2 linked regions of the Notamacropus eugenii genome follow. The protein of the gene in region 2 purifies or fractionates together with the protein of the main gene of each other region. This does not show direct contact. Links are inferred from orthologs where the notes say so. Each region holds a gene or a part of one and is shown on either strand. Other genes may lie near its edges. The genes, in order: ZNHIT6 and NUFIP1.

Evidence for each region.
Region 1: the proteins of NUFIP1 (region 2) and ZNHIT6 purify together in Homo sapiens (affinity purification with western blotting; 3 studies listed by BioGRID and IntAct, with this or other methods). This does not show direct contact. The link is inferred for Notamacropus eugenii from reciprocal best matches to the Homo sapiens genes NUFIP1 and ZNHIT6.

The regions. Positions count from the first base shown.
Region 1 is NC_092873.1:495,147,135-495,163,203, forward strand, and holds the start of ZNHIT6 (box C/D snoRNA protein 1), read right to left. Parts: upstream 7,970-16,069; 5' UTR 7,550-7,969; coding exon 7,397-7,549; intron 7,396-7,396; exon of another isoform or gene 7,022-7,395; coding exon of another isoform or gene 6,983-7,021; exon of another isoform or gene 6,912-6,982; intron 6,817-6,911; coding exon 6,695-6,816; intron 2,779-6,694; coding exon 2,713-2,778; intron 2,624-2,712; coding exon 2,517-2,623; intron 2,428-2,516; coding exon 2,342-2,427; intron 1-2,341. UniProt on the Homo sapiens protein: Required for box C/D snoRNAs accumulation involved in snoRNA processing, snoRNA transport to the nucleolus and ribosome biogenesis.
Region 2 is NC_092877.1:295,517,178-295,533,246, forward strand, and holds the start of NUFIP1 (FMR1-interacting protein NUFIP1), read right to left. Parts: upstream 9,243-16,069; 5' UTR 9,052-9,242; coding exon 8,685-9,051; intron 5,522-8,684; coding exon 5,436-5,521; intron 3,696-5,435; coding exon 3,597-3,695; intron 2,505-3,596; coding exon 2,442-2,504; intron 1,960-2,441; coding exon 1,883-1,959; intron 1-1,882. Other genes in the region: GPALPP1 (GPALPP motifs-containing protein 1), read left to right, coding at 9,243-9,327, 15,288-15,429. UniProt on the Homo sapiens protein: Binds RNA.

The sequences.
Region 1 (16,069 bases), on a different chromosome or scaffold from region 2:
GAGTGAGGGAGGGCTGTGCAGGTCACCAGCCTCCTTCTCCTCCAGAGCCATCTGAATCCACTGACCAGATATTCAACAGGATGACTGGAGATGACCCAGGATGAGGCAACTCGCCTTAAGTGACTTGCCCAAGGTCACACAGCTAGTGAGTGTGAAGTGTCTGAGGTGACATTTGAACTCAGGTCCTCCTGACTCCTGTGCTGGTGCTCTATCCACTGTAATACCTAGCTGCCCTGGCCATTTCTTATTAGCACTTCACTAAAAAGTCAAGGTCAAGGAATAAAACAAACTGAAACTGGTCAGTTTTGCTACTCTTATCTCTCAGAATAATACTGATAAGGATGATGAAATCATTCCATTAAAACTAGATACTGTATTCAATAATCCATGCACTCTACGTCCTTAAGGTATGATAAAACCATTTTGTTATTTTAGTAACAATAATTCACAGTCTAAAAGTTTTGCAAAGCATTTTCTCCTCATAAAAAGTAAGAAAAGTAATGTATGATCTCAATTTTATAAATGAGGTAATTGAGTCTCAGAGAAATTAAATGATAACTAAAGTAACACCCCTACTGTCAAAACCCAAACTCAAACTTAAGTCTTCTATCTCCAAAACCAGTGGAGTATATCATTTTAACATTATTAAACATGAAATTCCATATTTAACACTATTTATTGGACAGCATTATTGCAGCATGAAACAGGTACTACTTGGATACCAGGAAGTGGCATGCTTTGTTTAATTATATAAGTAACAAAAGCACTTAGTAATAATAAATGCCTTTCACCAATAAAATGAGTTACTATGATTCTGAATTATTCATGGCCCGAAGTAATGCCAGAGCAAACTTTATCATGTTCATCTCATTAGTAGTTTAAGAGAGTAAGTATGTGTCATCAATGTCCAATAAACCAGGCAAAATTGGTGGTATCATTTTTTTCTGTAGAAAGTCAAAAAACCCACTTGGATTCAGAAACAACTATTGAAAGGCAATGACTATGAATACTAATATATTTAAAAATGAAAATCTCTTTGTGCAGATAGGAAGTAAAGAGCTTTGTAAACCTTAAAGATGCTATATCCAAGTTGCTGTCATACTACTTTGTAGAAACTTTAGGGCTAGGGACAACAAATTCAAATGATTCACTGAAAATTTTTTTCACTACCTGAAGTTTAATTTAAGAAGCTATATGTCACTTTAGGCCCTTTATTGTTAATCTTATCTTCTCAATGCTCCAGCTCATTAGTGCCAAATTCAAATAGAAGACCATTAAACTATATAAAGATTCCCAAAGGCTGCATATCACACATTAACATTATCTATATTCTACTATATTTTTATTTATTGTTAAATATTTCCCAATCTCATCTTAATTTGGCTCAGTCTTGGGTCTGACACCTTCACTCTAGCTGATTCTCTAACATGAAATGTGTCAACTGGAACTGATAAAGAGTTCAGTCAATATCTCTAAGGGTAATCTGATTTTTAGACTTAATGTTACACAGTTCTAAAGAAAAATTAAAACATAACATTACATAACAATCTTTCTTTCAGGCACTATGCACATGAATAGCTGTCTACTGAATTAGCTAGTCCAAGAAAAACAGTAATAATAAAACTGGTAGAAGAAATTTTTTTTTTAAAATATGATGTTTCTTTGCTAATTACTCTACAGAAAAATGAATAATATTTGTGTTGATCATTTTTGAACACATTTTATGTTCACAGGAAGTTACATCACAATGTTGAATTTTAATTTTATAGTTATTTTAAGGAAAAGTCTTACAAATCTGGAGCACATAGCAGGGGAAAGAACACTAGATTTGCAAACAGGACCCAGGTTCATATCCTGGTTCCACTACTTATCACCTATGTGACCCTGGAAAAGCCAACTTTTATAAGCTTCAGTTTCCCTAAGGAAACTGAACTGACTTATCTGAAAGGTCTCTTTTTGCTTTAAATTCCATGCTCCTATGAACATGAAATCTATATAATACTCAATTGCTGTGGTCACCTTCCCTTAAGCCTTTGTTGCCGTTATTTTTAGTAGTGTCCGACTCTGTGACCCCATCTGGGGTTTTCTTGACAAAATATACACTGTTTGGCCTTCTTCTTCTATATTTCTTTCTATAGCTTGTTTTACATATAAGAAAACTGAGGCAAACAGGGTTAAGTGACTTGCCCAGCGTCACATCTAGTAAGTGCCTTAGGCCAGATTTGCATTATGAGGCGTCTTCCTGACTCCAGTTGAAACACTAGATGTACTGTGCTACCTAGCTGTCCCTCTCTTAAGCTAGTTAAAACTAAGAAGCTTATTAAGAAAAATAAATACTTACAATTCTATTTGTTGAGGGTCTTTTCAAGAAAACATCTCTAGCAATGTAGTCAGCTGATCTTCCCACATCTTCCAAAAACCTATAATCTAAATTTTTTAAAGTACAAAAATCAGGTGACATGTCAAAGGAAAGATACATCAATTAGTTACAAATAAGATGAGATATTCTGCCTTACCACTTAGAAGATTAATTTCAGTAAACTGTTTTAACGAGACAAATGCTGTCTTCTCTCGAATTCCATTGCATGTAAGCTCTGTTTTGTGTTTCTTCACACATGCTAAACTGAAAAGGCAACATACAAAAACTGTGCATTTTCATTCAGAAGTATAAAGGGCACAAGCAGCAGGAAGAGGACTAGGTCGAGTTCATACCTGCAGGAACATTTCATACAGCGTGGACACCTGTACTTTGCTTCTTCTGTACCACATGTTTCACAGCTACAAGAAACAAGAAACAAAAGCCCATCAAATATGTGTAATTCTTAAAATAGCCAAAGTTGTAATCTACTTGTAGATGAATAAATTTCCACAAAGAACTTACACACTTTTACTAACTCAGGCATGTACAAAAGTAACCTTTTGGTTAAAAAAAACAAAACAAAACAAAAACCCAAACCCTTCATGGCCACTCATCATTCTCCTCCCAGCTCCGCTCAGGACTTCTCAGGGACTTGGCCACCACACCTCCTTTGTTGGTTCTCACCCCACTGGTCACAACCACCTGGCACTTCTGTTTTTAAGAAGGGACCCAGGAGGGTTGGCCTTCATTCCCTTTCTGGCTTTGCTTCTCACTCTGCAGACGTAAAGTCTACGTGGACATTCCCCATGGAGATACCACTTCTCTTTCCTCAGATCCCAGCTCCCTTCAGTGACGTCTTTCCCACTTAGAATGGAAGTTCCCTGAAGGCAAGGAGTATCTTTTTTTGGCTTATATTTCTATCGTCAGGGCTGAGCACACTATCTGGCACAGAGTATGAGATTAATAAGCGTTTACTGTCTTAAATCCTTATGGGAGGCCTCTTCCCAATTCCGGATTTCTTCTCTGGTCAGTCAGCTAGCATTTATCTATCTCCTACTCAGTGAAAAGTGATATGCTGTGCTGGGGATACAACAAAAGACAAGACAGTCTCTACTCCCAAGGAGTTCACAGTTTGACAACACAGGAAGACAACATGCAAGCAACCATGTACAAACAAAATGGTAGAAGATATACTGGGCACAATAACAGGGGGAAAAGACTAAGATTAAGGAGAACTGGGCAAGTTTTCTTGCAGAAGGTGGGCCTTCAGCTGGGACCTGAGGGATGCCAGGAGGCAGACATGAGAAGGAACAGGGACAGTGAGGCAGTGAAAATGCTTTGGGTCAGGAGACAGTATCTTAACCAAGGCACAGCAAGGAGGCCAGTGTCACTGGGTATGTGGGGTATAAGGTCTAAGAAGACTGGAGGCAAATAAGAGGGCTGTATAAACCAAAGAGAAGATTTTATATTTGTTCCTAGAGGTGACAAGAAGCCATTGGAGTTTATGGGATAGGGGATGTCATGGCTAGACTTGAACTTTCAAAGAAAGATCCTTTTGCACTGAGGATGGACTGGAGTGGGCAAAGACTTGAGACAGGAAGATCTACCAGCAGGGTATTGCAACTGTTCAGGGATGAGGTGATGAAGGCCTACACCAAGGTGGCAGCAGTGTCGGGGTGGGGGAGGTCAGGGAGGGCATATAAATGAGATGTTACCAAGGCAGGAAAACTGGGAGATAACAATTGACTGGATATAGTGGGGTGAGAATAAGGAGTCAAAGATGACACCTAAGTTTGAGTCTAGGTGCCTGGGAGGATGATGGTGGCCTTGGCAGCAACAGAGAAGCTGGTTAGGAAGGGAGGGGAGTGGGGTTTGAAGGGAAAGATAATGAGTTTGGTTTTGGACAAGTTAAGTTTGAGATGTCTACAAAACATCCAGTTCACTATATCCAATAAGCAGCTGGAGATGCATACAATGGAAGTCAGGAGAGAGGCAGAGGCCTGGGCAAATAGATCTGAGAAGTGTTTGTTTAGAAATGATGGTTGAATTTGATAGATGACCAGTGAAATGACCAGAAGGGGAAGAGAAGAGGGCTCAGGACAGAGGCTTGGAGGGTACCCTTGGTTAATGGGCATGATCTGGATGAAGATCCAGCAAACAAGAATGAAGAGGTCAGACAGGTAAAGAAGCAGACACAGGAGTGTCACAAAAACCTAGAGAGAAGAGAATATCAAGGAGAAGAGGTTGATCAACAATGTCAAAGGTGGCAGGTCAAGAAGGAGGGGAATTGAGAAAGGACAGTAGATTTGGCAATTGAGATGACTGTTAACTCCTCTGGAAAATTCTCCAATAACAATCAGAATTAGTATTACTAGACTATATGGATCAAGGAAAAGTCATCCACTCATTTTTCAATATTCTAATGAAGTTTACTGAGGACATCAGATAATTCTTCCAATTTTTTTTCTGTCATACTTAGTAGCATCATACAGAATGACTCTAGTTCACCTACAAGCTGAGTTAAAAATAGAGATCAAACCTCCCATGAAGAGAGAAAGTCTTCTAAATTAGTCTTTTCTCTGATATAATATTGACCAAGGCCACTAACAGTGGTAGTTATGGGGTTTGAAGCCAAATTAAGAATACAACAATACACTGCTGCTAATTTAGGAAACAGATATTTCCTTCTCCCTTCCAACCACTCTGACCTAATATTTTCAAATGAACTTGTAGTTTTTTGTGCTGTTGACAGATGAGCCATCTGTTTTCTGGAGAATAAGATTCCCTCCCTTCCTTTCCACCCCTCCATTTCCTTTCTGTTTCCTTTTTCACTGCATGACAACATCCCATTTCTTCCAGCATTCGTGATTTCATCACAATCTTCTACAATTCAGTAAATGACCTTTGAAATTGCTGTGGCTGCAACATTTGATAACCCTATGCCCAACCTAGGTAATGAGCCTCTCTCCACATTAGCTAGGCTGGTTCTCAGATATGCCATACATGTCTATCATGGGGGCCGTACAAATCGTAAAAATTCAGAATTGGGACGTTAGTGGCTATCCAGTCCAGCCTACACTGAAACGAATCCCTACAACAACCTACCTGACAAAAGAGCATCCAACTATGCTTAAAAATTTTCAATGAAGGGAACCACCCACTACCTCCAGAGGCAGATAGCCCACTTCTTAAGAAATTTTTCCTTATATCAAGTCTAAATTTTTTAAGTTGGCTTCTCTGCCATTTTCATTAGCTGCTTCTTGTTCTGCCCCAGCTCAACTAGGAATGCATCTCTGTGGGCTGCAGGCCGACTTAGGAAATCATGGATGAACATCATCTAGGCTATATTGTATTTTTATTTACTTTGTTTAACATTTCCCAAGTACATCTCAACCTGGTTCAGGGAGCACTAGGGAGGGTTGCTGGGGACAGCAAGGTTGACACCCCTCTGCTCCAGGGTGCACCGTGGGCAAGCTACACGACTAACGTGTGCTTGTCTTTCATTGCCGAAGAAGATCATGCCAGCAGAGAAATAATGACATGACTTGCACTTGACTTCGTTTTGAGAGAGGAAGGGCTGTGCACGTTGTCACCAGCCTCACTTCTCCTCCAGAGCCATCTGAATCCAGTGACCAGATAGTCATCAGCATGACTGGAGATGACCCAGGATGAGGCAACTGGGGTTAAGTGACTTGCCCAAGGTCACACAGCTAGTGCGTGTCAAGTGTCTGAGGTGAGATTTGAACTCAGGTCCTCCTGACTCCTGCACCACCTAGATAACCCTGGTGAAGATGCTATCCATTTTACAGATAAAGAAACTGTGGCAGACAGCCATTAATTAAATGTCTTGCTTAGGATCACACTGGCTATGTCAGATCTTCCTGACTCCAGGTCCAGGATTATCCACTGTACCACCTAGCTGCCTATTATAGATTAAATTATAAATCAAAGAGGATAAATTTAAATAAAACCCAGCATAGAAATGTAGGTGCATTTTCATCTAAAATTAACCTAGTCCCAGAGTACATAATTGCTTCTCTCCACTTGGAAAGAGGAAGACACAATTAATAGAAGTCAAGACAAAAATCTAATTAATTCATTCGACCTGAAAGTCTTCAACCCCCAAGACACGTGTGCTCTGACTTCCTATCCTCCTACAACCCACTCTGGTTCTTCCCCAAATTCCACCAACGTCAAATACCCCACTGAGCCTGACAACCCAGTTAAGGCTTCAAGGGCCCTATGGAACCCTCTGGATTCCAGTTCTGTCTGCCCCCCTGAACCACCTGGAACCCGCCTCCCTCTTGGCACACCGACCTGTCACTCTCATCCTACCTGGACATGGCCAGCTTCCGCTTGCTGCCCACCCGAGGCTCCCTCGGCGGTTTCTGCTCCTCGGCCAGCTCTGCTCCATCTTCCCTGGCGCGGGCTCCAGCCATCTCCTGCTCCTTCACCCCCTGTCCAGACATCACCCAGCCTTTTCTCCCCTCCCCTCCTCGTCGCCTCCTGCGCTCTCCCATCCTCACCCCATTCTCCCTACTTCCTCCTTCACCTCCACTCTGCGCCTTCCTGGGATGCCCTCCTCCAACCCGCCAGCTTCTCCTTCATTTGTGGTCTACCCACCACCTCTTCCACGGCCTCCAGTCCGTCTACTCCGCCCATTAATTCCTTTCTCCTCTACTTCATCTCTAAATTCTTGCTTCTCCTCTATGGTATCGACTGACTCCTGCTTCACGGCTGCCCCGTCTATGACGTCATGCTTCCCCTCTATCACGTCTATGATGTCACGCTTACCATCTATCCCCTCTATGACATCCTGCTTCCCCTCTATCCCGTCTATGACGTCATGCTTCACTCTGCCTGGTCTATGACATCCTGTTTCCCCTCTATCCCGTCTATAACGTCCCGTTTCACGTCAGCTTCCTCTCTATCCCGTCTATGACGTCCCGTTTCACGTCAGCTTCCTCTCTATCCCGTCTATGACGTCACGCTTCACGTCTGCCCGTCTATGACGTCCTGCTTTCCCTCGGATCACACCTGCGTCCCCTCCTCAGGCTCCTCCATCACCTCCGCCTTGATCTGCGGCCCGTCCCCCTCCGGCTCCAGTTTCAGCTCCAGCCCCATCCCCGGGACCCCTGGCCCTTCCCCGGGCTCGCCGTCCCCGCCGTCCCCGCCCTGCGCCTCAGCCATGTCCTCGCTCCAGGCCCCGCCCCGCTGGGCCCTTCCGGAGCCGCCGGCGTCCCGGCCCCCCAGTCGCCGCTCCGGTAACCGCGCCGCGGGAGAGCGAGTGAGCGACTGCCCCTAAACCGCGCGCGCTGCCGGCCACGTGAGGCCACGTGAGGCCACGAGCCTCCACGCGCTCCAGCCTCCCGCCGTAAACCACACTCACCACCAAGTCGCGCCAGCGCCGCTTTACGACCTTTTCCCGACGCGAGGACAGCTGCGCGCGCGGTTTCCAAGGAAACGGAAGGCGACCGGTCGGCGAGAACCAGCTCGGGGCGGGACTTCCTCTTTATTGACCCTATCGGCTGCTGGCCCCGCCCAGGGAGTTTGGGCGGCTTGCTCCCGTTTATCCAGGCAGCCGGAATTTGAACTTGGCCCGGGTTCGTTTAGTACTTACCTACTTTAATTAATCTAGATAGTTAATTAGAATAAGATTGGAAGCTGCCCCGGGCGCAGCTCCCTCCGCCCGGATGCTTCCCGAGGCCTCCTCCTCCCCACCTCCTTGCGGCCCTGGGCTCTGATCGTCCCCTTGGGACCCGGATCCCTCTGACCACTTCCTGCCCCCCCAACCCCCAACAGCGACCAAATCAGCGCTGGAAGGGAAGGCGCCCCCCCTCACCCGGGGGCCCCCTCTCTCCAGAAAGTCGTGGGTCTCCCCCCACCCGCCGGAGATCAATAAATAGTCACTGAGCTATTGGGGAGCCTGCCCCCTTGCTGATAGGGCTTCTGGGGCGGCCTGGAGTCCTCCGTGCTTCGTGACCACGTGTTCCCCTCCCCCCACCACGGTGCTGGATTCCGCCATCTTCCCCTGGAACACGTGGCTCATCGCACTTCCCCAAGGCCCCACTCAGCACCCAGCAACTCCCAAACCAAAGAGCCCCTCCCTGGCCACCGCACTGCGCCCCGCCCCCGACCCCCATTAGAACTGAAGCCCCGGCTTGGCTTTGGGGTTGGTTTCTGGGCGCTTAGCCCTGTCCTTGGCACCTAGTTAAGCGCTCTCTCATTCATTCCTTTATTCATAGTCTACACTGGGAAAGGGAGCTTCCCCAGCTGTGGTTTTTGTTTATCAGGAGGACAACTATGGGTCTGGGCCCTGTCCCCCCATCCTGTGTAGACACGTAGATGGTGATTGAGATGTGAAGAACCCTTGGACTGTGGAGAGGCACAAGAAGGGTTGAGAAGAAGAAGATTCCCCATAGAGTGGTTTCTGTTAAGTCCTAAGGAAGAGGAGACTTTCCCATTTATTCTGCACTCTCACACTGTTGCCAGATTAATTCTCCCAACCACAGAGCTCTGACCCAGTCCTTTACCTTTCAGAACCTCCAAGGGTGCTCAAGTGACTACTAATTAAAACCTATTTAGTGGAAGGGTTTGGTGAGGTGGTCTGCCAACTACTGCTCATGTGACTTGAGGGGGCTCATGTAAAACTCTTAGCCTCAGTTTCTTCATTTGTAAAATGAGGGAGTTGAAAGAGCAAGAAGGATATTCCACAAAGCCTCCATTCCTGGTATCCCTCAGTTGTAATGACTTTTCACTCCTAAGACTTTTTACATCTATTGGAATATGGACTGCTAACTGGTTCAACATCACAAGCTGATTCTATTTTATCAGTTAAAATGACAACTGTACCCTCACGATTACAGGAATTTTCCATCATATTTGCAGCTGAAACCTTCCATAATGTATTTTTGAATTTGAGCTCCTTAAGAGCAAGGGACTATCTTTTCTATTGATATGCCCAGTGCTTACCATTGTTAAGTACTTAAAATAAAAGCATACTCATTCACTTATCTTAAAGATATATGTCCTATGGTCATAGCCAAAGTCACAGAAAAGGTTGCCTCAATTCCCTCTCCCCCTACCTAATTGGCAGATAATTTTCAATCATCCATTTCCCACCCCCTAAACCCAAGGCTTATTCTTTTATACTTTTCTCTCCACAGTTTTTTCTTTTGATCTCATCAGTTCCTATTGGTTCATTGTTTATCTTTACACAGATGAATACCAAATGTGTGTGTGTGTGTGTGTGTATGTGTACACTTGCGCTTCAGTACTAAATTGCAAGGTGCCTGTTGAACATTTACACCTGCATATTACAGTGTCATCTCAGACTTAAAATGTCCAAAATAGAACTCATTATCTTCTCCCCCTTCCCCCACTTTAAGCCCAACCTGTCTTCTAACTTTTCCTTCTTTGGAATTTCTCTTTGGGACTCCACAATCCTTCAAGTTGCAGGGGCTCAGAATTTCCTATTCTCCTTTCCTACTCTCTTTTCCTATAGCCAGTCAGTTGCTAAACCTTATCCATTCCACCCTCCCATTTTCCCCCTGTCCCTTCCCAATATATCTCACATCCAGCCCCTTCTCAACACTTACATAGTCATCACTCCTAGTTCAGCCTTTATCACCCTCTCATCTGGACTGTAATTGGCTTCTCACTGGTCTCCCTGTTTCCTATTTCTCCCCACCCCAATCTATCAATCACCCAGCTGCCAAAGTACTTTTCCTAGGGCACAGGTCAACAGTTTTTGGTGTCTTCTTGTTGTCTAGAGGATAGCATGCCAAGTCTTCAGCAGGACATTTGAAGTCCTGCACCATCTGGTTAAGCCTATTTTTTCAGAAATGTTTCTTAGGACTCCACATATTCTATATTCCATTCAATGGTTGTTTAGGCGTTTTCAGTCATGGCCAACTCTCTGTTGACTTCATTTGGGATTTTCTTGGCAAAGATACTGGAGTGGTTTACCATTTCCTTCTCCATCTCATTTTATAGATGAGTAAACTGAGGCAAACAGGGTTAAGTGACTTGCCCAGAGTCATATGGCTAGTGTCTGAGGTCAGATTTGAACTCAGGAAGATAAGCCTTCCCAATTCCAGGCTCAGCACTCTATGCACTAGTCAAAGTGTGACCCAAACTCTACATTCCAATTCTGCGCTTTCACAAAGGTTGTCCTGTATGCTTGAGAGGCATTCTTTCCTCACTTCAGCTTCTTAGAATGCTTAGCTTCAGTCAGTGCTCAGCTTAAGCATCACCTTCTAAGAGCTCAGGTACCACTTTCTGATTTCCTGTCTCCAAATTACCTAGAAGACTAAAAGCTCTTTGAAGGAAGGCACTTTACCTCTGTGTCAGTAGCTCCTAGCACTATGCCTTACGAATAGTGAGCTCTTGATAAATTATCTATTCAATTGAATTAAATGGAATCATCATGCATTTTTGGCTATTTTGTCTTTATTGAGAAGGGCCTGACATTAGTCACAAGTTTGGGTTCTAGCATTTATATCCTCTGCTAAAACTGTAACCCTCTCTTCTGGGGATTTTTCCTTACCTTTTTTTTTCACTCAATATAATTTAGTCCTTGTTTAGCAGCTTCCTACTTGTTTACTCAATTCTTTCAATTTCTTTGGTGGTTTTTCCATGAGGTTTTCCTTGTCATGAATTATTTATTTTTCTGTCTTTTTTCTGTTGTTTTCCTTTTACTTTATATAGCTTATTTCTCACTTCTTTGAAGTGATGAAGGGATCTGGACTTAGCCACGACATCTTACTTAGCCATCTTGCCAAAAGTCTCCTTTGAATTAGCTTTTTTGGCTGCCATCATGTGCCTTTGGCTCACATTGAGCCAGCAGAGACTCAGACCTTTCTCAGAGGAATAGCTCTATAGTCATACTTCTCTTGTTTTCTGCTCAATAGAGGTGGAGTGGCATTAAATGTATTGACTTCACCATTAGGGTGGTTTGACCCAAGGGAAAGAAATGTGTGGTGGAAAGACATGGATTTTGGAGTCTTTCAAATGAGGAAAATCCCAGTTCTGTGCATTCCTAAATGTGTGACTTCTATGGACCTCAGTTCCCTCATCTATAAAATAAGGATTTAGATTACATGATTTTTAAGCTCCATTCTAGTTCTAAAGTCTATGATCCCACAAATGAATGAAAGAAAAGACATTTGTTAATAGCTTACTTTGGGCAAAATACTGTGCTATATACTGGAGATATAAATAGATACCCAAGGAGGGACCAAGAGAGGGAGATAATATATACAACAGAATTCTGATTCTGGATGAATGGAAAGGCCCACCAAGAGGACAGTTGTTAAGACCTAATGTGTGTGTGTGTTTTTCCTTCTTTGCCAAAGAAGACCATGCCATCAGAGAAATAATGACATGACTTGCACTTGACTTTGTTTTGAGTGAGGGAGGGCTGTTGTGCAGGTCACCAGCCTCACTTCTCCTCCAGAGCCATCTGAATCCAGTGACCAGATATTCATCAGGATGACTGGAGATGACCCAGGATGAGGCAATTGGGGTAGTTATCTATAGTGTGAAGTTGCAGGGTAGATTGTAAATTCAGGTGTTCTAGAGCACTTGTGGAAGGCTCTGGTGATCTAGTTGGCAAGTATCCAATTTGTCTGGAGCATAATGGAGAAGTAAGGCTAACGTGCAAACACATTTTCTTGAGTATCAATTCATTTGATAAAACCATATCTGTTTCTACCATTGAACCACTGGACAGTGCAATATGATATTATCTTTCAATCTGATGGCTATATTTGAACCTTTCCCTACTATTATTATATTCTCCATCATGGCTTATTCTAAAGGCCAAAACAAAAACTGCTGAGAATATCCAGGCTGACAAAAAAAATCTGAATTTCCTTTGTGGTATTTGTATTTGTGTCTTCATCATGTTTGGACAACAGGTGGGGAAAAAAAGTTAATAAATACCCATCTAAAAATGAAACTGTAAGTAGTTACATTCCCTTTGACCTTGTGATGAAAATATACTCTCATCACATATATTAAATGTGGAATCTTAGAATATTTGATTTATCATTGTTATTTGAAAAGTTTTATGTTCTAATTTTACTGTGTTGACTAGCTGATCCATGTCAACAATAATTGTTGGGAAATGTTAATATTCCCATTGATTGTCAAATTGATAGAGATCCAAGAAACTTTTTTATTTCCTTTGTATTGATGGAAATCCATATATGCTATGTTCATTCATAAAGTAAATTGTCTTCATCAAACTGATCTGTTAGTATTTACTTTAAAAAAAAAAAAGGGACCCTTTTCCTTACATGCCGGATATGAACCAGTTCAGATATGCACACTCAACAAAATCATTTTTAACAGATTATTACTGGAATTATTTTTTATATCTTTGAGTAGACCTGAGGGCCCTGCCAGGGTGCCAACTCAACTTGCCCATAAATTTCTGCCCCTTTGAGGTAATAATAATGGCGCCATTTTTCTACTGTGGCCCTGAGTCACACAAGGGCTTTGAATCCAAAGCACACAGATTGCATAACCATGTACCCAGCACTAGGTGACAACGACTTCATCGCACCTATTTACAGCCAATTACCTATAAGGTCAGGGGGAAAAAGTTACACTTGGTCCTTTCACAGAAATGCCCTACTCTGCACGTTAAACATGCGCTTTCTTCTTATTTGCAAATACTAAACGCTGCTGGTCTAGGGTGGGAGGATTAAACTTGGATATTCATGCCAGGATAGGAAAGAGACACCAAGGCCTGCCACTTTATCATACCTTTTCAATTGGCATTAGTGATCACCCTGGTCTTTGGTTTCTTGCATGCTCTGGCTGCTCAAACTCCTCGAGAAAACATTTTGCCTCATACAAGAGAAACTAAATGCTTGTGATTTGGTGAAACTAACAGAGGAATTCTTTGCTTCCAGTTTTTAAACCCCATAGGTATTTATTACAGTATCATATATTCAGAGCTAGAAAGGACTTTAAATTTCATTTAGTCTCATCTCCCTTCTCCCTCCCACTCCCATTTTATAGATGAGAAAACTGAGTCTCAAATTTGGGAATTAAATTGACCAAGGTCACACCAGTACTGAGTAGCAAATGTTGGATTCAAATCCAAGTCTTTTGGCTCTAAAGCAGCTCTCTTTCATAGAAAATATAATATTTTTCTGCTTAGTGACTTTACTTATAAACACATCAGATTTCATAAAATTTCATCTCTTTTAGCAGTGGAGACACCCAGACATTTTCAGGAGAAAAGATAGTTGCCACATTTGGGTAATGGATAGATGGTTAACAAGATGGGGTTTATTATTTTGGAACACCATAAGAAGTATAATTGTCTATCTGGGTGGTAGGGAGCGAACTGGTAGAGCTGGTAAGAATATAAATTGAACCTGGAGTCTTATAAGTCTAATCAATTAAATTGAAAAGGACTGACCTTTCCATAGCTATCCATCAAGATAAATATAACTGGGAGAAGCTATAATGTAGGAAGAAAAATAGAAGGCAAGATTTCCAAGCATTCATAGAAGATATAATGAGAACTGACCTTACGGGCGAGCAAGAAATGCCACTGGTATAATTCCCCATGGGCGAGAGGCTGGATAGCTTTCTTCAGGAGAGGCATGACAACATAAAATGAAAGTGACTTCTAGTGATTTAGAGCATACATAGACATTCTATGACTAGTTCTAGTCTGTTAACCATGTGGTGTACAGCAGTTTCTTTCATTGATAGAAGTAGCAGAGACAGAACTTTGGGAACCCATTTTTTTGGATCTTTTCTCAATTCTATCTGATCTCTTATCATGACTTCTACCTGGTCATTCATATCCAAAGACAGATAATGTTTTAATTGGAAAAGTGTTGGGTCCTTTCTTTGTGAGGTGACATGTGGCGCCATCAATGTAGGCTTGAGTGTTTTGACTTTGTGTTTGTTCTTTTGTTTGCAATGAAGGAGATTAATCTAGTTTTTAAAGGTTAGGGGAGTGAGCTATTCAAAGCCTGGGAGTCAAATCCTTGCTGGGTTTGTAGCCAATCTGTGATGCCCCAAGGAGCAAGAAGTAATCTTTGGAATTCAACATAATGGTAGCCGAGATGAGGATTCATCCAGCAGTGACACTGCATTTAGAGATGAACTTGGGGACACCAATGTTATGTATTATCTGCATTATCCCCAGAGCTGAGGTGGTATGCCCCTAAAGAGTTAGGGGGGAATTGTTTATACTTCCGTTCTTGCTATATTTTTGAAGTAAATATCCCTTTGTAAAAACTCATCAGTGTTAAATAGAGCTTGTCCACTGATACCGGTAGTTAGCAGTGCATGTGGGGTACCACACTGAAATTGGGGCTTTACACAACGGCATTAGAGAGAGATATTCCAGCCCCTCAGGGGTGCCCCTAGAACCATAAGGGGAAGATGTAGCCACCTCTAGGGGAGTAAGTCCAGAGAGTATATTCACTACAGACAAAACTGAAGAAAAGGCCAGTAATAAAACCCTTGGCTTTAGATGTCTGTATAAAAATTCACAAGCTATAAATAACAAGCAAAATGAACTAGAAATCCTGCTGAAAAGTGAAACATTTAATCTCATAAAAAAGAGACTTGGTAAGAAAAGACATAACTAAAATATGGGTTTAGAAAGGTATATCTTATTCAAAAGCAACATGATAGGTATAAAGTGGGGGGAGAAGAGAAAGTGACCTTAAGATATTCTGGTGAAGAAACCCTGGAATCAGATAGAGGGAAGCAAAGTAGAGGAACAAACAAAGGGAAGCTTCATTATGAATTATATTATCACCAATAAGGGGGACTAGTTATAGGGATGTAAATGATAGGATCTTTGGATCATGGAGTATAGGAAATTACCACCTAAAACTTTCGATTAAGAAGGAAAAGGAAGTTGGGCGTAGTCTGACATTTACACTCAATTTTAGGAGAGCAGTTTCCAATAATTCAGAGAAGGATAAGTAGTCAGCTTTGTCTAAAAATTCTAAAGCAAAAGTGATCCCAGGAGGGACAGGAATATCTCAAGAATGAAATTCTGGCAACATAAAAAGGAGTAATTAAGAGAAAAAGTTAGACACCGATTTCTTGAGATATAGACTCAAAGAATTTACCGACCAACTTAGAATTAGAAAACACATATAAAGAAGATGGAAACAAAGGCATATATGTACACTCTGGGGAAACCCCTCTCACACATGGATTTGCATAAATACTATCTCAGGTTCAGGTTTGTGAGCAACCATTCAAAGTCATAGCTCATGAATCTCTATTGAGGTGCTTACTTTTACCAACCAAACAGTAGACAAATTAGTTCGAAATAAAAGATATTTAACCAAACAGCAAAGCAAATAAAGTAGCAAGAAAAGATTCTCCTCAGCCCTCCATCCCCCTCCTCATCCAGAAGTAAAGTAAACTCTCCCACAAGTTACCAAATTGCTTGTGAGGGAAGGGGCACATGCAGAGAATCCATGTAACCAGGGAATACACATGGAGGGAAAACATGTGGCAAACACAAGTGGTCAGGAAAATACAGGAAAGGAGAAATACCAGGAACTTGTCAGAGCACATGTATGGAGGTCACACACATGGGTACCTGGTCAATGGTTAACCAGGGTAACTACTTTTTCCTATGACATAAACTCTTTGATAATGTCATTGTGTTGGGCACCATCTTTGGGCCTTTCTGGTCACTGAGCTGCAATC
Region 2 (16,069 bases):
TAATAATGTGTGATCTCTGTCCAAATATTACTATTGATAAACACATGATCCTTGTAAAAATCAGGTACTAGAAAAACTACAGCATGCTAACAATGATATTCTCACTATAAATTAAACTAGGATATACAAATTTGCAGCCCAACGAAAAGATGGTTCCCATATTCTCCTCAAAGAGGCAAATAAAAGAGTTGGCGAACTTGACTGCACTGTTTGCCAAAGAAACATGACAAGACACTTGAGTATTTCATTTTGCTCAATTTACGATGAAAAGAAGCAAAAAAATCAACCTGAAGAGAAGTGCAGCTCATGGTCAACATCTATTACTGAGGATGAAGAGATGGCAGAATTCTACCTCAATAAGATCCTCCAAACCTTGTCAAAATATATATTTTGATACTTAGTGACATCAATGCAACAGAGACCAGAGCATAAGGATGATGGAAAGTAGGGTTCCGACTGCATATTCTGTCAGGGCTGGTCAACAGATGGGTTAGTTTTGATGAAGTAGCGTATCTTCTTCTAGTTCTGGTTTTATCTTTCTTACGAAGGACGGTCCACTGGGTAGGGGAAGTGAGAGGAACGAACACACTTTTTTAAAAACAGGATTCAGATGTGATGAATACTGTAAACTCTATTCACCGTTAAACATCACAAAAGTGCAACGGACCTTATCTAACTGGACTGAAAAAACCTGGATGTCAATGTAGACAACAATTCTCAGTCAGCAGTTTGTACTTGCTCATTACAGCAAAGGTCAAAATCAATACCAATTACAGGTATAAAAATAAAAAGGTGTTCCTATTATTAGACCTTCAACCTGACCTATTCCAACAAGTCATGATGCCAGAGAATAGAAAACAGATAAAGGAAAAGAGATCAAGAGAGACTATTAAAATTCCCTACAGACTTTAAACTAACATAAAGTAATCACTACACACAACAAGGAGTCAAGAGAGTGCCGAAATAAACTTAGCCAACAAATACCGAACAACAAATACTCCCTGCCGAGCAGAGAGACGTATGAGTCAAAAACGATACTGGTTTAGAATATAAAGTATGGGGGGAATTTTAAGGTATCAGACACTAGAAAAATCCCATTAAGACACTGCATACATGAATTCAAACAAAGACTCAGAACTAAAAAAGGCACCTGATATCTAGTCTATCCCCTTCATTTCCTAGACAAAAGGTTAAGTTATTTGCCTGTGGTTACATCACTAACTACAGTCAAGACCAGATCCCAGATTTCTAACTCCTACTCTAGTATTCTATCCAATCCATAAAAGTAATATGTTTTGTTACCTTATAAATACATAAGAAGCACCTCACTATAATAGACATATTTAATTATCTTATAATAAAAGACATTCAGTTATAACAGAAAAAGTGACGGGCTTGGAAGCAGATTTGAATCTGAGCACTTGCTCTCATCTGAGGTATCACTCTGGGGAGCCTTACTGAAACTTTTGGCTTTTTTTCACCTATAAAATGGAGGCGAGAATATTTATATTACCTACCTGGCAAGTTGTTGTGATGAACTATCACTGTAAACCTAAAAGTGCTATATAAAAGTGGCAGAAGTACCAATATCACTACCAGTAATAGAAAATATAAAGTACATTAAATCACTCTCCCTCCCAAATCAAGGAAATATACATATGTAAAAGCTATAATAAAGGTATGGATCCTGTCTCCCGATCTTAGCCTTCCTAATCTTCTGACTGCTATTTTATTCAGTTAGTTACTGGTCCTATTTCTCTAGGATCAAACTTCCTAACTTCTAAACACGATGTATTAGGCACAATAAGTCCAGTGAACTCATCAATTTGAAGCACCTGGCCTTAACAGCAACATACTTAACCATTTCTGAATTCTTACTCACTTTCTTCTCTCTTCCCTCCACTTTTCAATTTCCTCTGGAGTATCTAACTTTATCCGCTTGGCACCAGGAGCATGCATCTAAGAGGGAAAAGAATGTTTCCAATGTCACAATGGCTCTGTCTTTAATTATTGGGAATTTGATTATAGAGTACACAGGAGCAACGGGGACTTCGCATAGAAAACCAAGTTCAGCACCAGCCACTGCAATAAAGCTACCAAGTGAGCAGCTTTTAGGTTTTTTTACATTGGGATTTCCCCTAATGAGTTGTGGTGAGTCATGATTAATTCAGTGCTGCCTTTTAGGAAAGAGAGACCTTGCCTAGTAATGAGGTTCGCCAGATCATTTTACCAATGTCATATAAATCTGTTGTAACATTGATGAACATTAAACATCCTATGCATCTTCTTAATTTGACAATGAGAGTAGCTGAAGAGATAACAAGACTAAAAAATTAAGTGTAACTAAGATCTGTCCTATGCCATAATTATTGTAGAGTTGGCAAACCACCAAAGAAAAGAGGCTGGCAAATCTAAGGATAAACCTAAGAGTGGTAACTTACATTTTTCCAATGAATCTGAACAATCTTCTCATGAGCGCTAAAACTGCAACCATCGACCGAGCACTGAGGTAATTTAAAAAAACAAAACATTATTCACTACATTTCATACAAAATGTATTCTGCCACAACACAGACAATGCCGGTATTCAATTTGTTCTTACAGTCAATTAAGCTTTTCGAGGTAAAGTTTATTATCTCTCAATGTTTTAGGACGGAAGAAATACCAGTCCAGAGCAAAGACGGGTGGAAAGGGATTCATACACTGAAAACAGAGATCAAATATAGCAACAGGTTTCCTCACTTTTTGAATGCCAGGATCATCTCAGAAGGAAAGTGAAAAAACACAACACCCTCAATAGAGCCTCAAAAGACAAGGCTTAAAGGCTTCTGTCTAAAAGAACAAAGATTTTTCTTTGCCTTCGCATTCATGGTGATAGGGTCAGCTTGGGGATTTGTATAATAAAGTACCTTTGATGTAGGGGTCACATATAAGACTATACCTTATGGTTACACTGTAGGTGGGATACAGGCTCACAGCAAGTCACCCAATGGGTGCCCTCTGTAACACCACTAATAATTTTTTTTAATGGCTTAAGCAAAATCAAGGACCGCGTTGGCATGGGGAAGCAATGTACCAAAGAACACTACAGAGCCTGATGATTGCATAAGGGAATAGGAAGGGTCAGCCCCACTCCAAGGCATTTTGGGCATGGAATAGAATATAACAGGTAGCTAATACCAGTAACAGATCACATTCATAAAATGCTTTCAATTTTACAAAGCATTTTGTACACTATCTCATTTGATCTTCACAACAACCCTTGGAGATAGCATGTGTATACAAACAGTTGGATTCTTTTTAAAAAGACAGAAACAGCAAAAAGGCCACACCCAAGTTTCTCACCTACCCACTACCACCTGCCTGTTCCCTGAAGAAATCAAGCTCCCCAAAATATGGGGTGTGGCCCCAGCGCAGACTGCCAATCTGTCGAACCTTGTGATGGCTTGACATCAGACTACACTGCTAACTGGTAGGAAGCACTAGCGTACTGCACTTATCAGTTAGCAATCTTATGGAAATGAAATATGGATTGCTAAGAGATACAAAAGTAGAAAGAACTATTTTGAAAATTAAGGATCAATCAGAAAACTTACTGTTCGGTGTTGAGAGATGTGCTCGTCATATTTTTCTTGATTTTTAAAGCCACGATCACAAGTATCACAGTAATGGGTATATACTGGTTCTTTATTTTTCTGTCAGAAAAAAAATGCTATCATTTTTATATATTTATCATTCCTTAAAAAGAAAACCTCTAATAAACAGCCAAAAAAAGAACTTCAATATCAGAACAGGAATGATAACTAGAAAATAAAGAACTAGAAAAACTGTTTTTATTAAGAGCTATTAACATTAGAAAATGTGCATTTTTCCTACCAAAAGACTCTCCTGCCCAAAACTAACCTGTATTTATTTTGCCTATATTCTGTATATATTTGCATACACACGTTGTGCCTCTTCTTAGGGTATACGCTCCCTGAGGACAGGAGCTATCTCACTTTTTCGTTGTATCCCTGGAACCTGGCATAGTGCCTTACATATAGTAGATACTCAATAAATACTTGCTGATTCAAATATAAATAAATAAATAAATTCTAAACATGGTTAGAATTCTCAAGGAAATACACTAAGGAAAAAGATAAACCCTAAAACTTACAAATTCATTTAAATAAAGAAATTTTATTCATTTAAATAAAATGACTATGTTTTAAACAACCATGAAAAATAAACATTGGACCCTTGTAAAGAGGTCTAAAAAAAATTACTTTCAGTTTAATGGCTGTTGAATAGATGGTGATGCAGAAGTCTATCAGCACCCAGCCCTACTATGTGTGCTGTAATCACATTAAAATGCCTCCTGCCCTTCTGCTCCTTAGTTCTGCTTTACAGAGAACCTCTGGCTCTTGGGTGAGACCTGTGAATGTTACTGGTAGGCATTTCTGTTCATTTAAGACAAACAGGACACAAAGCAAAAGGAGAGAATGATACTGGAGAAATGAGACGTTAATGCATAATCTGTAGGTTAAATTAAATTTGGTGTAGGTACAGTAAAAGGTTGTTTTAGTAGTCTATCTCAGACAACTTAATACTAAAAAAAAAATGAGGCAAGAAAAAGAATGTTTCCTCCTTTCTTTGCAAGAATTCCACTGTGCAACAACCCAGAGAGAAAGAGAGAGAGAGACAAAAACAGAGCAAGTACAGATTTGGACTAAACCCAGGATTTCACTAGTAAAGAAAATGCCATTGAGGAAGCTTTCTTCCAACAATGAAGGTCAGCAGATATTACACCTGGTGTGTGCCCAAGGTCATTATGTGTCAGAGGAGCGACTGGAACCCTAATCTTCCAGATTCTAAGGTCATTCTTCTATCCAGTAACTCTAAGCAAAATGAATCTCGGAATGCAGGTTAATTGCTTTCATATTTTACCATTCCATAATTAAATTAAAGTGATTACATACCTAAAACCTCAAAAAAAGATTTTCAGTAGTTCAAAGGTAGAATTATTGCAAGTAAATACATTTAGTAATTTCATTAAATTCAATACTTACACAGCATTTATATAATAGTTCTATGTAATTTTATTGTATATGGAAGTTTTCAAATTAAAATTATGAAAATTGTACACAGTACCTAGTATCCAACTAATTCCTAATTTGAAAGTTTCTGCTTAATGGTAGCCCAACTCTACCTATAGACTAGGTAGACTGGATTCTACATTTACTATGGGAGCATAGTAAAAAAAAAAAAAAAAAAAAAATTAAACCCCCACCCCCACCCCTGCCATACACACTCCACTGTCTGATCAACATTTAACTTAGTATCTAGAGGAGAACCACCACCACAGTAGAAGAAAACCCATTCTACATGAAAGAAGCAAAAACAAAAACCTTACACAGGCAGCAAAGAGCCTATCTCTGAAGACTTCTCTTAAATACCTTTTGTTTCTGTTTTCCCCTTTGGTGATTTTTGAAATTTCGATTTGATCTGTCATGATTTTTCTTGGGGAAATGATAGTTTCTGCCTACAAAACAAAATGAGAAACACAGTTACTTATAATTATTTTTAAATTACACATCACAGGGTATTGTCAAGAAACTGATAAAGCAGAGAAATTAGACATAGCAGAAACACACAACTATTCCTCTGTTAGGAGAAGATGCATTAGGCGAGATGGGATTTCCACAAAATGAGCAGACTCAAACCACTGATTGACCTGTCCATCACAGGCAGATTTAGACCCACCTACTCCTTCACATCCTCTAAGGTAGTGAATTGGCTGAGTTCAATGAAAACAGGGTAATCTATCACCTTTCTCCTGTTAATGCTAGGATCAGCCCCATATTCATCTGCAGTGACCATCCAAGATTGATGTGTTTAATTAATTTCCATAATATTAGCTAATAGGTATTCTTCAAGCATACTTAAAATACCGTCTCATAAAATCAGAATTGTTCAGTCTGATAAATGATGAGCAAGAGGAAAAATATCTTCAGGTTTTAATGCCTACCTATCACACAAACGGACTGTGAAGAAAGGGCTCTGCAAACTTTAAAGAACTAGAGACATGGAAGCTATTTTTATCATTATTAAATACTAGATTTCAACTTGATTTCCACTAGAGGCAGCTGGCAGTACGATGGCTAGAGTGCTGGGCCTAGAATCAGGAAAAGCTGAGTTCAAATTCAGCTTCAGACACTCACTGGCTATGTAACCCAGGGCAAGTCACTTACCTTCTAGTTAAGTTAACTTCCTCAACTTTCAAGTCACTGAAATGAAGAGGACTACATGATGATGCAGTCAGTGACTCAAGTGAGACGCTGCATTCTTGGTGGATTTTCATAATCAATGCTACAATTTTAGCTTGTATAAAAGAGGATTCCACAGTTTTTAAACAGATAATGCCACATGTCACTTCTGCCCGATGACGTTACTGACAGATCACTGCAGACACCATCACCCTGCATCCTCTTTATTCTAAGAAATTGTGCTACACCGTAACAGCTCTGTGCAACAACCATGCCTACTCTATTGTGTTATTCTTGCTATCTTATTCACTAACTCTGCCACTTAAAATCTGGTCCATGAATATTGTGACCAGTGAGAATTACTGAAAGACCCCATATCAAGCACTCATTATTTACTATTAAATATTTAAAGAATAATTTTTTTCTTGCTTCATTTGCATGAAATGACTATCCTCTCACAAAAATGTTTACTAGAGCAACTAACAAAACTACTTCGGTGAAGCCCAGGATAGTAAGATTTCAAGCTAAATGGGGCTTATTTTGAGAATGAGAAAACAACCCAATCCCTTTCTTTTAAAAAAATGAGCAAATCATGTCCTAGAGAAGTGAAATGATTTGTTCAAGGTCACAAATACTGGGATGTTTCCACTAGAGCAGAGTCCTGTCACATAAGCATTGCCTCTGCCCAACCAACTGAAACTATATCACCTTCCCAAAGACACTTCATAAAAGACATGGCAGTTTAAGAAGCTCCTGTTATTCAGACAGTTAAGCTCTCTCACCACTCACTTTTCCCTCCCAACACTACCACCATAACTTGGAAGAATGGAATGGTGGATATTATTTGAGTTTATATATTCTATTATCTAGATCAGACCTGTGGCCCTCAGGCTGCTTATGGCAAGCCAAAGGATTTCGAGTGGCCCTCCAAGAATATAGAGGAAAAAACCTTTTTATGTAGAGGAAATCCTTGGGCATGCAAGCAGCCTGAAGAATGCACAGGCCTGATTTAGACAGAACTTCCCTGGGCAAGCCAAGGAAATGTGTCCTTGCTGTTCTTTGTCCTTTCTTCTCAAGGACCATGGCAACAAGAAGGTGATTCCATGACTTGCAAGTAAATCAGATTTAAGGGAGAAGGGCTGTGTAAAGTCACTAGCCTCACTTTCTCCTCCAAGACAGACCAAGAGACAAGATCTAAGTCAGGATGACTGGAGATAGTCCCCAGATAGGAAATAAGAAGTTAAACTAAAGAGGCAGCACAGTCAAGTAATAAGCACCAGATTTACAATGGGAGGAAGTGGATCTGGACCTTGACCACATCTCTCTGGTCCTCAGTTCCTTCATCTGTGAAATCAGGGATGGTACCAAATTATCCTACAAAACTAATAAGGCCTGGCTAGAAAAGAGCAAAGAGAATAGGTGAAAGATAAAGGATGTAAATAGAGCAAACTGCTGATCTTGAAATCAAAGGGGAGAACTTTGGATCTGAATTGGAAAATGACATTAAACCCTAGAGGTTAGACTTTTGTCTACCAAAAAAAATTATAGTTGTCATTGTGATCATAGATATAAAGCAGAAAGGGACCTTGGAGGTCATGAGTCCCAACGCAGTCATTCTACAGATGAGGAAACTGAGGCCCAGCGAGGTTAAATCTACCAACTTAAGGTCTAAGGTAAGAATAGGAACCCAAGGGTTTGTGATTCCATTGCCAGCACTCCATCCAGTTACACCAAGATCCTTCAACTTCAAACACAAACTCGTAACATCTGAATAAAAGTTCTGTCACAATGAAATCGGCAACATCTCCCGTAAGGTGGGAAAACATTGCAAAATAAATCCTTTGTGAAGCAGCAGAGTGCACGTTGGCTTTGGAAGCCCAAGGCCTTGGATTCAAATCCCATTTCTTGAACTTACTAGTTCCACCACCTTGGCCAAGATATACTGTCCTCATCCCTAAAACGAGCGGGTTGGCTCAGTCAGAGCAGACGACAGAGCACGGAGCTTGGCCTCAGAAACACTCGAGGTCAAATCGGGCTGCAGACACTCACCAGCTGTGGGACCCGAGGCGAGGCACTTAACTTTGTTTGCCCCAGTTTCCGCAAATGAGGTGCAAATAAGATAAAATGTGTCAAGGGCAGGCGCTATAAAAAAACGTTTATTCCATCCGCTCCCACTCAGATGACCTCTGAAATCCTTTCTAGTTCCAAGTCTGACTAAAGTGATCTGAACAAGCCCCTCCCCCACCCCAATTAATCCAAAAATTGAAAGAGACCAAGAGCGCGGCAGTGGGAAGTTTCTGAGTTAACAAAACACGCGGGAGATTGAGGGCGGAGTGAGGACGGAGGACGGAAACCGAGTCAATTCTCGGGGTTGGGGAGGGGGGATGGGGAAGGCCCCTAAGAAATAACAGCCATGGGGGGGAAACGCAGACGACTTACCCGGCAGTTGGTACCAGGGTCCCTGCGGAGGGTCGAAGCCGTCGTAGCCGGGGGTCGGCGCCCAGGACCAGTCCCGGGCCGCCTGGAAGTCCCAGGAATTCTCGGAGGAAGAGGGAAGGTGAGGCGGCGGAATGGACGGCGGGGGCGGCGGAGGAGGAGGAAGCACCCAAGATGTCCAGTCCGCAGACTGATCAGACTCAAACCCCGGGAGCGTTGGCACCGGGGGCGGCCCAGGCGGAGGGTACCAACCGAACGGGTCCATGAAACTAGGGGGTAAGCCTCCCCGGGAAACTGAGGCAAGACCGGCAGCTCGCCAGCAGCCCACAGCACGTGGGCTAATCTCGGAGGCGGTGACATTGTGCGTCATTTCCGCTCCACCAGTAAACACACTTTGGGACCAATGGCTTGTCGTGACGTCACTTCCAGGCGCCGGAAACACTGTGTCCGGAGTTTTCCCCAGACTGGGAGACCGAGAGGGACCCTGCGCGTGCGTATTGTGTGGGGGTCTCTGCGTGTACCGCTACCTGGGCAGGGAGGCTGGGCTCTCCTTGGGCCGCGATGGCCAGGGACCTGATCGGCCCCGCGCTGCCCCCGGGCTTCAACGCCCGAGGGACTGCGGAGGAAGAGCCGGACCTGAGTCCCGGTAAGCTAGGAGGGCCATCCCTCCCCAGGTGAGGCCAGCCCCGGAGCCTCTGGGAGTGTCGAGGCCCGCTATGGGCCGGGCTCCTGGCGAGGGGTGAGAAGACCCTGGGGAAATGACCCTGGCCCTGCCCTCGAGGGGCTTCCCTTCTACCCAGGGGAGGCAGAAGCACGAGAAACAAGTGCAGGGTCGGGAAGTTCACAGCAGTTTTGTGGGAAGGGGCCCGCTGGGGAAGATCAGGAAGGTCCTGCTCTGCCCAGCTGGGCTGTGAGGGATGCTGGAGATTCTGCTGGAGGGGACGTTGGGGGAAAGGGGCGAGGAGGGAGAACACTCCAGGCCTCATCATCCTCATCGTAGCATTTCCGTAGCTCTTAAGGATCCGATCTTCTTTGATCCTCCCAGCAAGGCTAACTATGGCAGTAAGACAAGAAAAAACTAACAATAGACAGGAAACAAAAGTATCACTCTTTGCAGAAGATATAATGCTATACTTAGAGAATCAATTAAAAAAAAAAGAGTTGAAACAGTCATTTATTTGATTCTCGCACAGCAGCCCTGAGATGTGGGTGCTGTTATGATCCTTATTTTATAGATAAGGAAACTGAGGCAGACCAGTTAAGTGACTTGCACCAGGTCACATTTTGGACTCGGGTCTCTCTGACTCTGGTTTCAGCACTCTATCTGTCTACCTGCATAAGGAACTCCTTGTTTAAAGATGAGACAGAAGAGGCATGCAGGGAACAGCAAGAAAGCCAGGTTAGTTGGAACAAAGCATGTTCATCCTGGGAAAGTAGACTAAGAGTTAGGTGGTAAAGTTGTTTGTCAATCAAAAAGCATTTGAGGCAGCAGATAGATGGCACAGTAGATAGTTCTGGGGGCATTAGGAAGTTCTGAGTTCAAATTCCACTTGCTGCCATATCCTGCCATTACTCAACCTCTGTCTGCCTTGGTTTCATCTGTGAAATGGGGATAATAATAAATAACAGAAAGGTATTTCCAAATTCCACTCAGATACATTATAAAAGAAGGAGCAGGCCTACATAAATGGAAAATATACTTTATCATAAAATACTAATTTTACCTGGGGGGTGAAGGAAGGTTGGGATTGGGGAAGCCCTATAAAAATGAAGAAAAGGAAAGGAACCTTTAGGTTTTTTTTAAGGACAAAAATGTGATGAATCTGAACTTCTGAAATTAAATTATCAGTTCATTTTGTATCTGTCCTGCTGAGACTAGGTTTTTAGGAAATTGACTTGTTTTATATGTTGAACAAATTGCTCAGCTCTCTGAACTAATTAATAATACAAATATATTGGAAAGAAAAAATGAATTGCTACAGAGATTAAAAAAACTAAAGAGAAGTATGATATCCTCTTAGTAAAGAAGGCTCAATGGCTCCCTATTGCCTCCAGGATGAAATATGTACAGCCCATAAGAATGTGAGCTCCTTGGTGGCAGGGACCAGGGACCTTGTTTTTGCCCTTTTTTTGCATCTGCAGCCCTTAACACAGTGCTTCACACATGATGTTTATTAATAATAACTAATAATAGCTGACACTTATACAGCTTTTTAAGGTTTTGAAAGAGCTTTATAAACATCTCATTTTCTCCTCTTAGGTGAGGTCTTTCTTGTCTTCCAACTGTTAGTGCCTTCCCTCAGAAGTTACATTGTATATTATTAGTATATTACTTTGTATATATTTACACATGTATACATTTTCCCTCATAGAATATGAGCTCCTTAAGGGCAGTGTCTGATACATTTTTGTACTCCCTGCAGCAACACAATATCTGGCACATAGCAGATACATGATAAATGCTTGTTAACTGACTAGGTGTAAAGAACCGTTAGTCAAATTCATTCACAAAGTAGATACTTAATAAATTGTGTTAATACCTTGATTTGATAGCACTAAGCATTATGGGGAATACAAGAAAAGAGTTTAGAGATCCTCTCTACTCCCAGCAATTTTAGGATCTTTTTATTGAGTGATTTGGAGTCCCATTTGGGACATCTGCCCTAATATTGGTAACACAATACCTCTGGTTTAGATGCTGTCCACACCTTCCACCCTTCAAATACTCTCTTTGGCTATCACTCTAGTTTTGGCTGTATTTCTCTTCCATTCTTTACTAGTTCACTCGTTCATTTCTGTGGGATCCTCTGTCAGAGCCCAACTCTAGACTGTCCACTATCCATCTCCTTCGCTCCTACTCAGCTACTCCAATACCATTATTCATAGTTCTGCTGAAGAGAGCTGTGGGAAGTCAACTACAGATTTGTTATCTATTTCAACTAGGACCTCACTGTACTATGGCAGTCCTTTTACTTTAATTGACTCTGTCCCACTCCTCACAACAACTGTTACAAGCCTCTTAGTACAAACACCTCAGCCTCCCCTTCACATACTCTTCACATATAATCATACTGGCCTTCTTGCAGTTACTTATACAACACACCATCTGTACAGACTGTACCCCATACCTGAAATACCCAACCTTCAGACTTTCAATTCATAGAATTTTTCTTTCAGATCAACTCAAGTGCCATATTGCTTTTCTTGATTCTCTTGTGCAGCTGCTACTTTGTCCCTCTCCCCACCCTTCACCATGTTATCTTATATGTATACTTTTTCCCTCACAGAATGTAAGCTTCTGCAGGACAGTGACTTTTATATTTGTCTTTGCCTCTTCAGAACTTAGCACAGTGCCTAACAGGAAGAAGGCCCTTAATCAGTGCCTATCCTTTGATCAATGTCAAAGCTTGTTAGTCTTTGCTGTTCTTTCCTAAGTGTGGAAACTTTGAGACAAATGATTGATTGCAATGAAGCTGCTATTAATAGAGGTCTTGACCTTGAATTTACTTTCATCTTCTTTACTTTCTCAAAACTGAGTACAGGGTTTTGCACACAATAAGCACCTAGTAAATGTTACTGAGTTAGTGATAAGTGAGTGAGTTTTAGAGCCTTGAAGAGGGAAAATTTCTGTAAAAATGTATAAATAAAGCTAGGAAGCATAGGTTACTCAAATCAGCTGGTCCCATTATTGTCTCTCATAGCCATGGTGTTATCCTATTATATAATGCTTATTTTAAATTATTTTATGTGGAGTGTATAGCTGATTTCACACTTCAGCATTGCTCTAATTTTTTTGTAGTAACATATGCTGTTTCTTGAGTATTATCCTCATCTGTTGAAAGTAATAACAAATTCACTGCAGCACAAATTTAAAATAGTTTTACAATCACTGTAACTATACAACTGCTGTAAATGAAATTACTCTCCAGCATGTACCACTTCCTAAAAATATACTTTTAAAATATTTAATATAGTCATTCATTTTGTACCATTCTTTGCATAGCTGTGCACCGTACAACTAGTTATTTTAAAATCCTTTCCAAACCCAAGTGAGAGAGGCAGCATGGCAGATTGGCCAGAAAGCTGACCTCAAAAACCTGCATTTATGTCCCTCTTTTATCATATCCTGGCTGTGTGCCCCTCTGCATGTCCCCTCAGTGCTCTACTCTGTGCCTGTAAGTTTCAGAGAAGGTCCTAACCTGCTTGGCTAAAGGAAGGTCTTCTTTGGGTACTACCTATGTGAGTGAAATGACAGGTCAAGGCAAAGTCCAAGTACCTGTCCTTGGGGTTTTCCTGGCAAAGATATTGGAGTGGTTTGCCGTTTCCTTTTCCAGTGGATTCTTTTGTCAGGTAATCAGAGGTTAAGTGACTTGCCCAGGGTCACATAGCTAGGAAGTGACTGAGGCTAATTCTGAGTTCAGTTCTTCCTGACTCCAGACCCAGTGCTCTATCCACTGAGCCATCAGCTCCTTCACCTAGAGGCATAGTGTATTTCAATATTGTATTATAAGTGGAAAGGGGAAAGGAAAGCAAGAAAAAAAAAGAGAAGGAAAAAACCTCCCTACTTAAAACTTTAAAATCAAAAGCAAAGAGAGAAAGAAGGTACCATTAGTGTGAGTGAGAGAAGAGCATGCGAAAGTAGCATTCTGACTGAAACAGAATCCCCATTCTGGGGATGATCTTCATTCATCCTAGGTGGTGCTGCCATTCCTTGTTTACAAGGTAAAGTCTATGAGCTACAGAGTGAATTGAGTTTAAGGCCTGATCTTTGAGCAAGAAATGTAGCCAGTAAACCCAGAGGAAAAAAGGCAGCTTTTGGGCATGGAGTATACCTTCCCCTGAGTAGAACACCAGAGGAGAGGAAAGGAGGTACAGGAGGAGAGGACCTGCTACTCACTCACAGGTGATGTTTGTCCTTTGTTCTCAAAGAGGACCATGACATCAAGTGGATGACATGACTTTGATTTGAGTGAGGTATGGCTGTGCAGGGTCACCAACCACACTTTCTTCTCCTGAGCCATCTGAGTCCAGTGGCCTGATATTCATCAGGAGGACTGGAGATGGACCAGGATGCAGTGTGAAACTCTGGTCCTTTCAGGCTATGGTCTTATCACATTCTCACTTTGAGTGAGATATACCCATTCAACGAATAGGCTTTTTAAAGTAGTTACTCAAGGGATGGCCCCTTTAATCAAAAAACAAAAACAAAAACAAAAACCTCAAATCAAAGTCAACTGCAAGTCCTATCATCATCGTGATTTCATGGTCCACTTTGAGAACGAAGGACAAACGCAACAATGACAAGGTAAACAAAAAATCAGAGGTGCATTAGGTGCATGAATTCTATAAACTAGGGGAAAAAAATTATTCCAATTTTATAGACTCAGACAACCAAGGCAACAAAAAAATCAAGTATCTTTCCATATAATTCAGTCTAAAATTATTTGATTCTTAGTCTTTCCACTATATAGCAGTTATTTCTAGGCATTTTCCAAAGTATGGTATTCTTCAAACATTTATTGAATGGCTGCTATATGCTAAGAACATGCTAAGTGCTGGGAATATAAAAGTGAAAGACCACCTAGTAAAGTCCTAAAGGAATTTGCAATCTACTGAATTCTAGGATAGATTCTAAAGCAACCTGTTCTGTTTAATGATATAAAAGAACCTTAATGGAAATTCCATCAAAGTATTGAAGATACTAAAGCAGATAAGCTTTCAAGTTCATCATATTAACTATTTAGTGAGAAATAGAACTCCAAGTAAGTTGCAACATACTTTCAATGATGGATTTGTGCACACACAAAAAAGAGAAAAGAACTGGAAAATGTACATGTGAAAAGAAAGGAGAGTGGTCACATAGTGAGAGAAAAGGAAAACAGATGGACCATCTGAATATTGTATTGGTAGCCCCAAAATATTCACAGACTTAAAAGGTTACCTGTCCTTTGGAAAGATCTTGTTGATTACTTCAGGGTGTTGTGATTTCATCAGTGTATATTTCCTTCACTGATGCTGATTACAACTCCTATATTAAGTAGTAGAAGAGCTGATTTGACCACAAACTCATTACCTTTTAGCCAGCCTGGTGATAAAGTATCCTGGAATCAGCTAGGTTTATCCTTGAACTGCCTTAACTCCTGGTGCTTACTGCAAGGCTTTACAGCTTGGTTGAGCCTGTCAGAGTTTACTCTCTTCTGTCATAGTTTTGGAGCTTGGAGCCTCAGGTCATCTACATACCACTATAAAAATTGGAGGAAGCTGTTAGTGAAGGGTCTTTCTAGAGTAAGAGAACTTATTGAAGGGTTTAAGGAAGACAAAGACCGGAACCACAAAGGATGAGAGAGGGTTGAATCTGCCCTTGTGGAGGAAGTCACATATCCATTACAATGTAACTACTCGTAGGTACCGAAAATACAAAAGAACATCGTTTCTTTTCTTGGGATATAAGCTGAATGCGTACATGATAGTAAACAATACCAGATAGTATATGTAATTGCCAAAGTGCATAGAAGACGGTAAGCTGTATGTGAATGCATAGGAGACCTCAGAGTGGTTAGGAAAGCTTTCCTGAAGGTTGCAGCATCCCTAGCAAATCTTCTTTAGTTGCAGGACCAGCACTGCCCCCTGACTATAAGAGCAGTAGTTCAGACTCATCATCCAGTGATGAAGACAGTGATTCTCCTTTGCCACACCAAGGGGGGAAGGAAGATTCTGAAGAGGAACATGACACTGGTCCAACCCCAAGGTCAGTCATTTTGTTCATAAGTCATTGCTTAAACCTTCTCTATAGGATTGTCTGTAGTAGAAAAGTTGAATATATACAGACAGCTTTCATCTGAATTTGTGTATGCCAAAAGGTAGAAATTATTTCATCTTATCATTAATTGAATCTATTAAAGGGAAATTAATTTAAGTGTAACATGGAGCTGTTGTTTCAACCAGTTTTCTTTTATTTATGAACTTGTCCTAGAGATATTTTGCAAATGACTATTCTAAGTAGATCCAAAAAATAATATCTGTCCAGAAGTTTAAAATATAAATTTGGTTGAACGTATGATTTTCCTTCCAAGACAGAACATCTCTTTAAATCGAACCTCCCCAAATATACATATCCTATGTTGTACCCATTGCTCTAGTTTGACCCTTTTCGAGAAGGATTTCTATCTATTTCCCCATAGCACTTTTCTGTTGCAAGCTTGCTTACTTTCGTCCTGTCTCTACCTAGACCCACCCTTAAGCTCAGCCGTTGTTTCCATTCATCCACCCAAAGACCTGAGTGGCAGTCATTCTTTAGACCATTTGAACACCTGAAACTGCTGGTAAGATCTTGAACTCTGCAGTCCCCCCAGCATAATTTCCTGTCTTTTTCTAGCTCTCACAGCTTG